4 linked regions of the Daphnia pulex genome follow. The protein of the gene in region 3 purifies or fractionates together with the protein of the main gene of each other region. This does not show direct contact. Links are inferred from orthologs where the notes say so. Each region holds a gene or a part of one and is shown on either strand. Other genes may lie near its edges.

Region 1 (3,171 bases), on a different chromosome or scaffold from region 3:
CTTTCATCCTGAATCACCAAGAAAATGCTTAAATGTCAATGCTCACGTAAGCTCTTAAATACACTAGATTAAGAAAATTAAAGAAAAGTTCTTACCTTTCCAGTAACACGAGTAACCACAACATCGACAATATCGGTAACATTTCACTTTAACTTTTCTTCATGAGATGGATAACGATAAAACAATTATAAATTAACAAACTGCAGCAGCTCTGCATTGAACCGTATTTTGAAGTTCACTGTCGGCATGTAGTGCACAATTATTCTACGAGAACTATTTTCAGCAACCGACACGTTCAATTGCAGAACCACTTACTGAAATAAGTCTCACGCCGACAGCGGTAGTTGGAAAACCTTGTTTTTCACGCAGACCTTACTCTAATTTACTAAGATTTTTTACACATCAATTCTTGGACTTGCTTCATTACCTAAATTAATTGGTAAGTTTAATTTGAGCGTAAAAAGAAAAGTAGGGTGTAGGATAATAAATAAAACACAACCTTGACCAGGCAAAGCATGTATTTAACTCTCGTTTCATATTGGAAACTACGGTAGTTAATCGACACCAGCCCAGTAAATAGACGAAACACTCCTTAGGCAGCAGCTTGGGTGGGAGGTGCTGCTGCGATGTCGGACATCTTGGCTGCTTTAAGTTCCTCTGCGATGTGTGTCTCATCTTTAGGTTCCAGGATGGAAACATTGTCTGGCAAAGGTCTCTTGGGTCCGTTCTTGTTGTTGGGATCCCACGGCAACATGATCTTAACCTTAATACCAAGTACTCCTACAATAACAAAGATGATTAGAAAGATTCCTCCCAAGTCAATATAATGCACAATAAATTACCCTGGCGAAGCAAGACGTGTCTGACGGCAGTGTCGACGTAGACGTTGGTGGGTTCTCCACTGTGGATCATCAGACCATCGACGAACTTCATGCTCTTGGCTCGCTGACCTCGAAGTTTGCCAGATACAACAACTTCACAACCCTTAGCTCCAGACTCCATGATGAAACGGAGAACACCATAACAAGCTCTGTGTAACAACACATTACATCAGAAATGCACTATTTAAACGTCAGCCTATTGAATTAGCTTACCTGCGAACAGCCAAACCACCAATGAGTTTGTAGCGCAGGGACTCAGCTTGGGCAATAGCACACAAGCCACGAGTAGCAACCTTCTCAGCATAGAGCTCAACAGTTCCCTCTTGGAAGCCAAATCTCTTTTGGACAACAGATGTCAACTCGCGAATGCGACGGCCTTTCTCACCCAAAACATTCTGGGTACGTGTAGCCAGAATGATGATTTCTGTGCGAGTGGGGGCAAGGCGCACCTAATAGGAAAATGGGTTTTAGATATCTACACAGTAACAAAATAATTTCACAAGAATTACCTCAACTCCAGAATAACCATCTTCGGCCAATTCACGGGTCAAGAAGGCGTTCAATTCAGCCTTGAAGACACCTCCCGCCACAAACTGTAATACAAAATTATAAGAAAATTAGGTAAACTCAAGCACACTGACAATAGAAACATGTCAAGCCAAGACGAATTTTATCCTCCAAAATCTTTCACATCCTGGTTAGAAACTGTTCTATTTCATCAATAACACCTCAATATTCAAACGGTGAATATGTGAGAACAAGATGAAAAAGATTCACGTGTTGAAAGAATTACTTGCCTTTCGTTTTTTCGAGATCTGAGCCGTAGCCATTTCACGTATTTTAAGACCGGTCTACGAGAGGAAGAAGGAATACACAGTACTTTTTCTGTAGACGAAGTTGACAAGCCCAGCATTGCCTCCTTCTCAACCCCCTCTTTCGGAATTCATCTTCCCACATAATTTATTTCAGTTTGCTTTTTAAAATTTTTTCAACTATCATTATAGAAATAATAAATTATAAACAAGTTTAATTGGTTCATATTTGTTTAAAAGATTTCAAAAGTTTTATTGTAGATTTTCCATCTGTCAACTCCGACAGGAAGTCCGAAATTCAACAGCGTTGGACGAAATCAAATGTTATAAGTAGGACTGTAAAACGCCATTTGAAGCATGTGAAGCTCCCCCATCTGGTTTGATTGCTGCTAGCCAGTTTTGTATTCGTTTCGGTAAATATCTTATTTAATTCATGCAACTAAGACTGAATTTTGCATTCCTTTGAACCACACTAGCTCTACTTAGCTTATAGTGGCCAAGCGGACATGCTAAATTAAAATTTATTCTGATCTACCGTTGTCTCCTTATTTGGAACACATGGATTGAACCGAATTAAAACATTTGATAGTAGTAACATAAAGTAATTGATGTTGAAGGCACTGAGGCACACTGTGGATAATTTGTTGAAGTGTGCTTTAAATGGTTTTCTATGATGTTGAAATGCTAATTCTTATTCTGTTGTTGTACAGGAACCCTCACATCGCTACCTGAAGTTGCAGATTTCCTGGTGAAATAATTCTGTTTGGTGTATTTTATAGTATCTATATTGACAAATAAACAATTTTTAAAATTACATTCTGGCAAATTGTAACTAGTGAAAATTAAAACAAATTAATTTGTAGATAACTATATTCAGCGTTAAATTGTTGGTTGAATCATGGTTGGATGATGAATCTCATCAAGAGACAGGCTGTTGCTATTCTAATAGATTATGGCTTTTGACTGAGATAATATAATGTTAACTGTAAGTAGGGTACCATGAAAAGCTGTAAATATTAACATGTAACCTTTTACTTGATTCTTGTTTTTACAATCTTACGATTCTGTTTAAAAGGGGTTCCTCGTTAGCACATAAGCCTACTTTTCGCACTGAACTCGCTCATGAAATCATTTCTTCCTGATATGGTTGGGATAAATTATATTGGTAAAATTTTCAAGTTCGCATCGATGTATTGGACCACACACTTGTTAGCACGGGAATTTTTAGACGAAGGGAAAATTGTAGCCTAAGAGAACATTTTATCGAACAATTTCAAGGGCAGTTGAAACCCATTTGAGTTATCTGAAGTTATGTGCATCCAAGAGCTGTTTAGTAGTTTTCTGAAAATCACAGCTTTATTAGAAAGTTAATGGACTGTTTACTTATTAGTCCTTGTCTTCATCTTTGTAGTGGCGGTATTCCGGTTTCAGTTCCCACATGTTTTTGTGAGGATTCTTCAAATTGTATACACAAACAT
Region 2 (4,167 bases), on a different chromosome or scaffold from region 3:
ACCTGTGGGAAAAAAACAAACATCAAAACAAAGAACAAAAATAAATAACGAACTTTGAAAAATAAAAACATTCTAGGAACGACTCCGACGATTCCACTAAAGATAAACGGACATGTCGCAATCATTAGCATATCAAATGTCTTGCAATTACACAGATATCCTCTTGGGTGGGTGGGGGAGTTGAGAAGGGGTAGGGGTCATGACATGGGATAGTCATCCAATAGCAACATGATAACATCCTTCCATTGAAATGGTGCCAATGCTTTTCATGCAACTCTAAACCACCTCCCTACTTCCGTCAAGAAAATTCTGAACATTTGTTTAGTGTTGCAATCACCTCAGCCATAGAAGTCTGCGATGGTAGATTTATGATGAATGGTTTGCCGGCTTCAACAGTGACATCAGGAATATTCTTATGGTCTTGCAGTTGTAAATCCTGCTGATGATGGTTCAGCTGAGCAGGAATATCAAGCCTATTTAGAACTGGATTTCGAACAGGTTCCATATTAAAGCTGCCTTGGACTGAGCAAAAGGCACTCAGCAGAAAGAAAATCCACGGATTGGGCATTTTTGTTGACAGCATGAGAAAGTGTGAGTTGGTTCAAGGAAACTTCAACAATCTATGCCAGCAGCTGCAGCATCTACAAAAACAAAGGTAATATAAATAATTTAATATTTATATATTTGTCTAGTTATGCAGTACAAAAGTTCTCCCATGAGACAGACTCTCCCCCCAAGTTGAGATGCGAGAATAAGCAGCTAGGGAAACGAAAAGGCGAAAAATACCCACAAAGAGGGGAAGTTGGTGTAATGTAAACGATGACGCGATTAACATAAAAATGCCTTGCGGGTGTGGTACATGAGCACATTTAGAGCCTCTTTCCACTTAATCGGTGTTCACAATCAAGATAAAAACCAACTCAAAAGGGAGAAGAATTTGACACGACCCAGTCTTATTAAATATCAATGATTTTAACTAACTTTATGGACTTACCAATACAAGTATTATGGCCTTCAGCTGCACTTCTATAACAACCGAATCCGATACATTTCAGGGGAGGACTGAGACTAGACTGGGCAAAAGGGGAGGGGAAGAATACTAAACACGAAGCCTCTTCTGTCTAAAGCAAGTTCCAAGCCGTCGAACATCGACTAGTTTTTTTCTTTCTTTTTTTAAATCTCAAGTGTCTCGACGACACACAACACAAAACCCATGGTAGAATCAAGTTTCAGCAATATAGCTCAGTGACGACTGGAAACGGGAAGTCGGAGGACATTACTGGTTCAGTAGTAGTTTACTCACGACCGGACATTGATGTTCAAAAGATTGATTTACAATATTAGATCGCGCAGCATTTCGAGTCGAACAAAAATAACGACACGAAGTCATTCATCTCCTTTCCCTCTTGTACTTTAAGTCGAAAACCGGATGCTTCAGACTAATAGTCTTATGCATATTCCAGGGAAGAAGCAACCAAAAAAGGGGGCCTTATAAGGGTAACGGCCTGTATATGGGGTTCTATGCGGTTTTCACGGTCGTGTTGTAACTTAACACGAACGCGCCAACAGATAGCCCACGAATACAGCTTACAGTTAACTAGGCACAGGCTGGTATTCGTGACAAGAACAAGGCCACCATTCGCATAGTGATAGATTATTTCTTAAGAATAAATTGTTGCAATCAGGTTAGAGTGCCAACAGGTTTTAAAAGCTTCTCACTACTACTAAAACTAAACACACTTAAAGAGGAAATTAAATACAAGCCTTTAAATACATACAGAAGCAACTGGGATGAGCTGAATCAAATGAATCCCAGTAAATAATCCCAGCAATAATGACCGCTCAGACATATTCACGCGACTTTCAGTGATTTCTGGTTTGACGTCTGATGATAAAAAAATCAGTAGAGTAAAAAATTGACAGCTAGTGACCAAGGTCCTAGTCACAGTTATAACATGGTATGAGGATGGTTATAGATATAATAGAAAGTCCGCCCGACTCCGCTTTGTGAATTAATAATAATAAATACGAGGCCCCAGCATATTCAAACCAATACTATATTTTCTGAAGAAAGAATGAAGAATGATTACTTCATGAAAAGACACAGCATTCCTACACGAGAACTTTTCCCCCGAATTCAATTTAAAAAACAAAGTTGTCGACAAGAAAAGTCGAAAAGCTTATTTCTTATATGGTATTGGATGCGCTTAGAATTACCAAACCAAAATAGATAAACCGTATTACACGGCTGAGAGCAACGTAAAGCTGAAACTGTTTCCCACCTCCCAAGAGCTCGACGCTTCAACGAGATTACAAAAAAATCCCGATTCCATTTGTTTAGTTTTTCTGGATTTTTCGAAAAGGAGTCACACCATTGAAGGTTTTTGAGTAGGCTATTATGGAACATTCAACGATAGTTTCGTTCAAATCTGAGCTCTTTCGACGTCTCGTCATGAGATTATAGGGGTCACTTCTGATTTTGATAGATTGAAAAAACAAAAAAAAAAGCAGGAAGGATCAAGGATTTGTTTTTTATTTTGACAAAGACAAGTTTTTGATAAATACCGCTAGGTGTCTTTAGCCGATAGTACAGCCGTTACTCGTTAGAGAGAGCTCAGTAAAAATAAGTTTCGTCTGCCCACCCAAAGCTTCTTTTGACTTTTCTGAGTTCTAATAGATACACGTGGTAATCTATCTTAAGTAACAATGGAAGTCAGTAACCAAACAAAGTCTAGCAGTGATTTTGTAAAAGTGCCTAAACGCAAAGCTGCGAAACGCAAAGCTATTCAGCCTGAAAATGCGGAGAAAAATGAAAGTACATCAATGGAGGTGTCGGAAGAGACTGCTGTGGATAGACCCGCCTTCCCCCCTATCAAGAGAGAAAAGTTGGAGAACGGAGTCGAAATACGTAAAATATCTGTGCCTGCTCACAGATATTCTCCATTGAAAGAAAATTGGATGAAACTTTTTACTCCTATTGTTGAACATCTTCATCTTCAAATCAGGTTCAATTTGAAGAATCGCCAAGTTGAGCTTCGAACATGCAAGGACACTAAAGAAATAGGTACAAAATTACATTTGTGTTTAATAATTCTGTTTGTTTTTAATTGGCAAAGAGTTTTTTTTTTACTTGAATTATTTTATTTATATATTTTTATCACATTTACAGCAAATGTTCAAAAGGCTGCTGATTTCGTGAAGGCTTTCATCTGTGGGTTTGAAGTAGAAGATGCATTGGCTCTGATTCGTCTTGATGATCTCTTTGTTGATTCTTTTGAGATCAAAGATGTCAAATCATCTCTTAAAGGTATTAAAGTATTACTTTTAAGTTGCAAACAGTGGCTAATGTGTTTTCTTAGGTGACCATTTGAACAGAGCAATTGGAAGATTGGCAGGAAAGGGTGGTCGGACAAAATTCACCATTGAAAACGTAACGAAGACAAGAATTGTTTTGGCTGATCAGAAAATTCATATTCTTGGTTCATACCAAAACATTCAGATTGCTAAAAGAGCTATTTGTAATCTTATTTTGGGCTCCCCTCCTTCTAAAGTTTATGGTAATTTGAGAGCCGTTGCTAGTAGGTCATCTGATCGTTTCTAAAGACTTGTTACACTGTACAAAACAGACTATTGGCATTTTCCAATACACTTCAATGAACTCATGGTATAAAATTGTATTATCATAAAAGAAAAGTCGCGAGGTTTACTACAGGTAACATGTGGAGAAGCTAATAGTTAGCAGAAAGTTACTGCTAATAGTTAGAAGCGAGTTACTTGGGAAGAGTCGAGGAAAATGATTTAGGAATGCCGAGATTAACTACCCCACAGAGACTAGGGAACCCCGTCGTCGTCCCAGACTTCCGAAGAGCTGCAGCTGACATAATAGGTATGGCTAAGTTATTGTGACCATTGCAAGACGTCAAATTGGATGCGGGAATAAACTGATTAATGCCCATTGATTCAAGTTTAGAAATAACATCCAGTCGCTTCAAGTCGACTATAGGAATATAAAATTCGCTGCCAGATGAAGTTGCTTTTTCCATCGATATTGCAGTAGGTTCCTTACAACAGGAAGACTGAGTTGATGAGGTCGTATTAGGAGGCACCAAACTAATCTCGGTAGTGGATCGATTTTGTCCAGAAGTTGCTCCGTTTTTGGTTTGCTGG
Region 3 (3,650 bases):
ACATAATTTGCCTTTCCCCCCCCCCCTCCCCCCTATGAATGTTGGTATCAGATCAAACTTATATCTTGTTAACCAATCACTAGTTAATAATGGTTTCACTCAAGGCGTGTATAATCAGTCGCAGTTTCTACCTTTTGTGTTTTCACCGTCATGCTTAAGCGTTTCGTTCTTTAACCTCGTAAAATCGTAACAAGTCCGAATGTATTTTTGGCTGACAGTTTTTGAAGGGATAGGGAAAAGAGATGTGTGTAATATCTCTTTCAATGTTTTCCGAAGTGCCTTGGAAATAAAGAACGTATATTAACCTATATTGAAATTGAATTGGCTTATGTTGCTTTTAGTATCGCAAATCGATATTCAGCGATGATATTTCGTTCAACTGATGATATAACATCTAAAAATACGAATGTTCCAAAAATCCGTTTCATAACCACAGGTAAGATCTCATTCCATCTTGACTTCTCATAATCAAACACTGTTTGCTAGGAATAGAAAACAAATGAATTCAGACGCCGAGTTTATTATTCACAGTATCTTTCATTTTAATCTATCATTTCTTCATCTCTGCAAGAGGAGTGTAACAATTCACGACGGATTTCTGGTGTTAATGTATGATGTTTGTGAACGGAAATCACTTGAAGCAACGCTTCTTTTTGTTCACTACTAAGATCAGCCTTGTATCGTTGACTGAAGGTTAGAAGTGATTGATGCCACAAAACAGGCATTTCCCTTGTATCCAGCTGAAATCTACATGCAAACAAAGGAAAGATTAATTAACAAGAGTTACAATCCAGTATTTCATAAAAAGTGTAAATATATTACTTTACGAAATGATGAACAGCTGCGTCAACCACACGATACGGCAAAGCGTATTTTTTGTCGAAGAATATTCTCAAAAATATCGAGTTCGATCCACTATAATTCATTTCAGCAAGTTTCAAGATCGCTGCAGCAGAGTGTAGAACGGGAATGGAACAGCGAGCAATGACGGAACCAATAATTATGGCTTCTCTTAAAGTGCAAGTCCCACTCTGCAATTAAATATGAAAATGTATATGAAACAATTTGAAAATATGAAAAACAATCTAACACAACCTCGCAGATCGGAAGAAGAAATCCCTTAAAAAACGCGCCAGGTTTAAAGAGGGCTTTACGTAAGGCTTGATAAAGATGAAAATTAAGTTTTTTGAACTCGGCAATATCATCACGAACACGTGGCAGAAGAACCAAGTTAAAAAACCGCTGGGCCATTTTTTCTGTCAAGTTGGATGTGAATATTCGTGTAGCAGCATACATGGCGGCGGCACTCCATTTCTCCGGATCTAAAAGCAGAACATACAAATCAGTTTTTAAGTTTAATTGCAATTATACCAAACAGAAAATCTTATTACCAGTAATATACAAAATTTGCTCCCAATTTTGCAATGAAGGAATCAGTTTGAAAGCTTTGGGTAATTTTCCACTTCGATAGCGATGTAAAACTGATGCCACACCCAGGTACAACGATTTAACTCGAGGATCCACATCTTGAAACTTGACGCCTTAAATGTTATCAAGTTATTTCTAGTCCATTTAAATCAAATAAATTTGCAACTTACTTTCAATTTCAGAAAATTGACTCTGGATCTCTGTCTGTTTTTCTGTTATTTTTTCTAAAATTATGTCTGCCAGAGTTCTCCTTGGTGCTGGGTTGGGATTCATAAACAATGCCAGGGCTTTTTCATCCTCTTCATCAACTTGCTATAGAGAATACAGTCAACCATCAGTATCTTAACCATCATCTTGATATGATTAATAAGCAGTTAACCTTACCACATCTTCCTCAAATTGTGAATCCTTTTCAAAGTCTGATTCTTCACTGTTTCCATCTCCATCTAAATCTGCTCCTAAGGAAGTGGCTCTTGCCTAGTAAACATAAAATTAACCAAGTTAATAAAACTTTGAGCAACGTAGAGCTTACTTTAAACGAAGAGCCAGTTCCTTCAATTTCTTCTTCAAGTTCTTGTTGTTGTTGATGGGCTTGTTTCAAAATCCTTGCTGAGAGTTTATCATCAACAAACTCATCATCTGCATCAGTTCTCCCTCTGACCTATTGAAACAACCAAAATAGATACACCTATTAATTCACAGAAGTCTCTTGAAGCAATAAAAATATTTCAATTAAACTTACCTTGACTCGCCCTTTACTTGAGGCAATTTCTTCTTTTGAAATCTGTTTGTCAAGACCTTCAGTTCTTCCAGTTCCTGTCTTTGAAACTTTCAGTCTCTTTGCTTTACCCATTTTCTATTGATAACACACGTAAAGACTTGGATTGCAATGAAATTACTAGTTACTACTTACTAGTATCTATGAGCGGTAACCTCACAAATGTTTAGACAACACGTGGGGATGTAAATTGTGTGTACAGTAACCTAGAATGTAGGCGGCCCGAATTTTTTGAAGATGTGACATCGCCCCCTGTGTCGTGTCGCAAGCAGCACCCCTATGAGGAATTCTCTGTAGCTATTTAAATTCAGAGAAAAAATTAAAAGATAGAATAGACCATCTCCCAGTTCCAGCCAATCTTTATATTTTTTAATTATTAAATATATTATTTTAGCTTAAGGATTCTTCTGAATCGGAAGGGTTTTACTTTTTTTCGTTACTCCTGAGTTTACCTTGCGCAAAAAACGGAGAAAAAGTATTGAATTAGTTACGGAGAAAAAGTATAACTTATTTAGGAATCAACGCGACGTACACGCCGTTTATAACAGAATCTCAAAATTCAAAATAATTTTTACTCCTACGGTCCTACCTCTCTTTTATAAGCCACGTATACTATGTAATATTCTATGTAGCTTATGTGTAACAACCATATTGCTACTATAGCTTTATGTTAGCAGTGTTGATATAGAAATTAACACGTGAACCTGTTTGCTGCAAAGAACGCTTTGTATTGCTACTCGCCTAGCCACAATCGTCAACAGCACTGAGTCCCCCTCTCTTATTCCTTTGTCTGGGTAGGTCCTTCTCCCCCTCTCTTCTTTCCTGGCTATCCTGCGTTGCCGCACTGTCCAGTTTGTTTATCTTTTATACTCAACACCTCCCCTCAAACTGGACCCCCAAAAATAAACATGAGCACAGAATACACAGCATATTTGAATCAGACATAAATACTAGGTTCAGTGTCACAAGACAAATAATAAGAAAAGAAATATCAGCCTCCTTTAACTCTTCAGTTACACCTCCCCTACACCCCGAACGCCAATCTTGTCACGGAGATACTTGAAGCGTGGAGCAGCCAGGGGTTTCGTGAGTGCATCGGCCAGTTGCTCCTGGGAGCTTACATAGTTTATCATCTCTTCTGTCATGTCGATCGTAACGCTTCCTTTTTCTGTCCGCTTCTTCTCCTTCTCTCTCACGCCGGCGTTTGTATTGACGGCATTGAGCTCTAACATGCGTAGTGGAGTTGCACTCCCAGCATGTTCTCGGTATACCAGCATGTTGACTGGAAGGGTGGCTTTTTCCTTTGTTCTGACCGTACTGGGCAGGAAGTGCTTGCTCTTTGTGCTGTGATTCATCTCTGTTCGGCTTACTGAGATAGGCAGTATCAGATGTCGATTTTGCTTCTTCGTCGTTGCGCAGGCTCTTGTCCAATGCTATAAGGCGA
Region 4 (3,873 bases), on a different chromosome or scaffold from region 3:
ATCATGAAAGAATACAGCAAGAAGAAAGTAGCTGAAAACCTTGTCCAGGAGTACAAAATAAACTACAAAACGTTATCCCATGGAGATGGACCTTGCAGTCTGGTGGAAATCAATGTCTCGTCCGTCAAAAATCACTTTTTGCGTGTGTACTTTGCCCACCTGTTCTCACCTATTCTTGGAGATCACATATTCGGCAATCGCGTTCAAGAAATCAAAGGCAAACGTTTAACCATCAGCCCCGTTCAAGCTGACTACTTGTCAAACTTTCAGAAAATCCCTGCAGCCATTTTAGCTCGACTTAAGGTGGTTGAAAGTGGATCAGTACCCAATTGTCTTCATCTAAGTCAAATTAATCTGGCAAATTTCGCCAGTCGAAATTCAAATTTAGTTCTTAAAGCTGAACCTCCTCCTGGTTTTCAGTTCATCTGTGAGACCTTTGGTTTAAATTTGCCCAACTCTAATGAATGACAACTTTTGTAAATAAATTTATAGTAAAAACATTTGTTTTGTTAACAACTCAGTGTATATGTCAAAGTAAGTTACAATTTTCAATTGTCCCATCCCCAGATACCATCAGAACGAATCATATCTTTATTTTCTCGCTTCTTTCGGGTGGCGGCACTTGCTTCACCTTTGGCGCGTATTCTCTGCACTGCTTGCATGTTCTGTCGCCTTGTTATGGTGCTCTTCACTCTCTGTTTGATGACATCCGGATGGATGGTCGACATGGAAGCGGTACTGCCAGCTCCGCTTCTCTTGGTTTTGATGCCCGACCAGTCCGTCAACATCTCTGAAAGTTGTTCCACATCTTCGGCGTCTTCTGCTAGCCCTTCAATAGACACTTCTGGAACGTATTCCGGATCAAGTGGTTCGTTGATGGGCTCAAGAATTTTATTTTCAACTGGCAACGGTTCATCTGGGGTCGACTCTGCTGTGGTTGGTTCTTTCACGTCTTCAGTAACAGAAGTTTTATTTTCAGATGGCGGAACTTCTTTTGAGATTTTCTCTTCCGGTAAATCGTTGTGATCAGCTTCGACTTCATTGTCTGATTCTTCTTCATAATCTTCTTCCAATTCTTCTTCGAGTTCTTTGACATAGCCGCTGGCTGCAACCTCCACATCGATATTGGCCTCTCGCCTGTTTGAATTTACTATAAGTAATTGATATAAGTTTACGTAATTTATTGATTTCAACTTACACCACGTCACTAAAAGCAGGATATGCTTCCCCCTCAAAATTGAAACGTCGTTTGAAGAAATCTCTGAGGCATTTCACGTCGCGGTCGAAAAACCTTGAAACAAAATTCCGATTACAAACAAAACTGTTGAATTTTTAATGAAGGGCGAAATTACTGTTCAGCCTCGACATGACTGGTGGACACCATCTGTGGGAAATCAATCAGAATGGGCTTCTCATCTTCATCTATCATGATGTTGAACTCGTTGAAATCACTGTGAATCACACCGTGATTGGCCAATTTCAACAACAAATTCATCAATTCTTCAAACAGTGCACCTGCATCCTTCAGCTCTCTCAATTGGCATCTAGTGAAAGAAACGAGAATTTAGTACAAATTAATTAAATATCAAAGAAGAAATTCAATTACAGGGGGTAGCCGTTCACCAGCTCCATGAGAACACAATGACGATTAAAGTCAATGGGTTCGGGTACGGGAAATTCACGCTCGTGAAGGGCCTTCATGTAGGCAAATTCACGTGTAGCAGACAGTCGGGAAAGGTAAATCCAAGAGGCGTTGTTACGATGTTGATGGTAATCTCGTTTTTCTTTAATCTTGCGGAAAGACGTTCGCCCCAATCTGTAATTAACACAAATTATTAGAAAATTCAATATGAATTACAGGAGCACACGAAATTACCTGTGGATTTTCAAGCACAGCTGTTTTTGTTCTTCATTGCCCACCACATAGACATCAGCTTCTTTACCCACACCAATCTGATTACCAAAAGAATAAAGCACATTCTTCTTCACAAAGGTTTTAAGAGCCAAAAAGTCATAACCCAAATTGGTTAATCGGTAACCGTCATCTAAATTAATAGCAAAAAAAAATTAAAATAATTGAAATATTAAAGAATGTGACATGTTGTGTTACAATGTTTTCCACGCTCATAAGCAACCAATCGTTCTTTAGACAGTCTCATAAGGATTTTGTGGGCTCCACCACCTGCTAGCTGGGCAATTGTCGCAATCAATTTTGTGTTGACGAGCTCGTGATTTTTCATGCCCATTTCAACCTGTCAATTAAAAGTGAAGTTAAGAAGTACTGTTTTTAGTGTTTTGTAGTAAGCTACTTACAGCCGTCAAAACACGGTAGTCTTCTGTATTCAAGTAACGAAGAAGAGAAACGTTAATTTTCCCCATTTCTTAAGAAGGAAATATTTATACACGTGAAAATTTAAGGACCTAACCAACTTTGTCGCACATTGCTACACACTCACATTGGCATTGGCTGGAAATAAGTAATCGTCTGCTAGCCTAGCTACGTTGAAATCTTGAAAACTTAAAATTTTAAACTAAATTTTTCAAGTTTCAAATAATTAAAATTGATCTAATTAATCAATCGCAATCACCTTGAAAATAAGATTTTTAAATTTTTTATTTCACAGAAATCGTTCGTGAAGGTTACAATCTGACACCGGTGTATTTTCGCGACTTCTTTTCTTCAGTTTTAGAGCCACTAGACAATAGACGTGCATGGTTCTGCGCGGTTTCTTCCAGCAGGTTTGTCTTTAGATGAGATGAGTCATGAGTGTAAGCAGAGAACGGAGATGGACACTTGCGGATGTGGTTAGACTAACACGGTTTTGGAGAAGGTTTGTTCTTATGTAATTTAATTGAACGAAGTGATTTTTACTAATTTGGAACAAATATTTTTGTTTATTACTGTAGTCAATTTGTGTCTCAGAAGTCAGAACGTTCAGCAAGTCATACCACGACGTAGAGCTGTGTTTCACTGGTTTTAGACGTCGGCTTGCAATGAATCCTACGGTAAATCCATTCAAGTTAAATTGTACCACTGTAAGATTACTTGTGAATAATTTTAGAAAAAAGGACGTTGAATTGTTATAAATCATGTTATGGCATATGCAAGTAGTTGCCATGAGAGAAACCTTTGTGGTTTCTTCCAGGTTCATCCTTGAATGAGTTCAAGTTAAAAATATTCGTATAAAACTTGATAATTTGAATAAGGAATGTAATTTCACTAACTTTAATCCGTATAGTCAGTGTTTAACAGAACGTATAAAGTGCGTCACACCCACGTAGAGCTGTTTCAGTTAAGATGTCTAGAAAATCGAACACGAATTCTATCCCGTAAGCATATTCAAACTAAATTGTTATGTTGTTAAATTACTTGCGAATAATTTGGGGAATGAAAAAGGGTTTGGATTAATTGATAGTAACCTTCATACTTTGTGCTTTGTGGGCTAATGTGACCGTCGTCACTGAGAATATGGCATTGACTTTTTCATGCCACGTGATGGCTCCCAGTGGGCAGTGCTATTTTCCTGTTGATTTATTTAACGATTCAATGTTTTTTACTTGCGGTGTTTTGATTATGTCTATAACGAGTATACGTACACAATATTTTGAGGTGTCACCAAGATCTCGGTTTTCGAGTTTATCCCTGGTTAAATTGGTTAAGTTTTCGAATCCACATTTAATGCAGTGCATGAGTTTCAAACGAGTAAAATAGGACGAAAAATCTTATGAAATAATGGCACACCAACACAAGAACACATAAGACGGAAATTGGTCGTATTTTTTTGCATAATTTGTTTCTTCCAAAATTATTAGGCTTTTTATGTCTTCCTTTTCTTTTTTTTAAAGTGCACAGTGCACACTCGCTACATGTGA

What was found. The genes of interacting proteins can lie anywhere in the genome.
Region 1: the proteins of bystin-like (region 3) and 40S ribosomal protein S3-A-like purify together in Homo sapiens (affinity purification with mass spectrometry; 4 studies listed by BioGRID and IntAct, counting the BioPlex papers as one, with this or other methods). This does not show direct contact. The link is inferred for Daphnia pulex from reciprocal best matches to the Homo sapiens genes BYSL and RPS3.
Region 2: the proteins of bystin-like (region 3) and RNA-binding protein PNO1-like fractionate together in Homo sapiens (co-fractionation; 4 studies listed by BioGRID and IntAct, with this or other methods). This does not show direct contact. The link is inferred for Daphnia pulex from reciprocal best matches to the Homo sapiens genes BYSL and PNO1.
Region 4: the proteins of bystin-like (region 3) and serine/threonine-protein kinase RIO2-like purify together in Homo sapiens (affinity purification with mass spectrometry; 3 studies listed by BioGRID and IntAct, with this or other methods). This does not show direct contact. The link is inferred for Daphnia pulex from reciprocal best matches to the Homo sapiens genes BYSL and RIOK2.

What each region holds. Positions count from the first base shown.
Region 1 is NC_060025.1:408,678-411,848, reverse strand, and holds 40S ribosomal protein S3-A-like, read right to left. Parts: upstream 1,825-3,171; 5' UTR 1,712-1,824; coding exon 1,679-1,711; intron 1,475-1,678; coding exon 1,391-1,474; intron 1,331-1,390; coding exon 1,095-1,330; intron 1,031-1,094; coding exon 843-1,030; intron 781-842; coding exon 593-780; 3' UTR 501-592; downstream 1-500. Other genes in the region: general transcription factor IIF subunit 2-like, read right to left, coding at 3,080-3,171. UniProt on the Homo sapiens protein: Component of the small ribosomal subunit. The ribosome is a large ribonucleoprotein complex responsible for the synthesis of proteins in the cell. Has endonuclease activity and plays a role in repair of damaged DNA.
Region 2 is NC_060025.1:6,663,209-6,667,375, forward strand, and holds RNA-binding protein PNO1-like, read left to right. Parts: upstream 1-1,396; 5' UTR 1,397-2,706; coding exon 2,707-3,064; intron 3,065-3,169; coding exon 3,170-3,307; intron 3,308-3,359; coding exon 3,360-3,601; 3' UTR 3,602-3,667; downstream 3,668-4,167. Other genes in the region: dystroglycan 1-like, read right to left, coding at 1-2, 338-583; putative mediator of RNA polymerase II transcription subunit 26, read right to left, coding at 3,771-4,167. UniProt on the Homo sapiens protein: Part of the small subunit (SSU) processome, first precursor of the small eukaryotic ribosomal subunit.
Region 3 is NC_060024.1:1,298,082-1,301,731, reverse strand, and holds bystin-like, read right to left. Parts: upstream 2,484-3,650; 5' UTR 2,342-2,483; intron 2,285-2,341; 5' UTR 2,282-2,284; coding exon 2,171-2,281; intron 2,090-2,170; coding exon 1,961-2,089; intron 1,906-1,960; coding exon 1,813-1,905; intron 1,741-1,812; coding exon 1,599-1,740; intron 1,542-1,598; coding exon 1,392-1,541; intron 1,323-1,391; coding exon 1,096-1,322; intron 1,032-1,095; coding exon 823-1,031; intron 748-822; coding exon 543-747; 3' UTR 501-542; downstream 1-500. UniProt on the Homo sapiens protein: Required for processing of 20S pre-rRNA precursor and biogenesis of 40S ribosomal subunits. May be required for trophinin-dependent regulation of cell adhesion during implantation of human embryos.
Region 4 is NC_060026.1:209,352-213,224, forward strand, and holds serine/threonine-protein kinase RIO2-like, read right to left. Parts: upstream 2,486-3,873; 5' UTR 2,380-2,485; coding exon 2,314-2,379; intron 2,253-2,313; coding exon 2,111-2,252; intron 2,046-2,110; coding exon 1,877-2,045; intron 1,817-1,876; coding exon 1,607-1,816; intron 1,545-1,606; coding exon 1,353-1,544; intron 1,292-1,352; coding exon 1,199-1,291; intron 1,138-1,198; coding exon 549-1,137; 3' UTR 501-548; downstream 1-500. Other genes in the region: mitochondrial mRNA pseudouridine synthase RPUSD3-like, read left to right, coding at 1-468. UniProt on the Homo sapiens protein: Serine/threonine-protein kinase involved in the final steps of cytoplasmic maturation of the 40S ribosomal subunit. Involved in export of the 40S pre-ribosome particles (pre-40S) from the nucleus to the cytoplasm.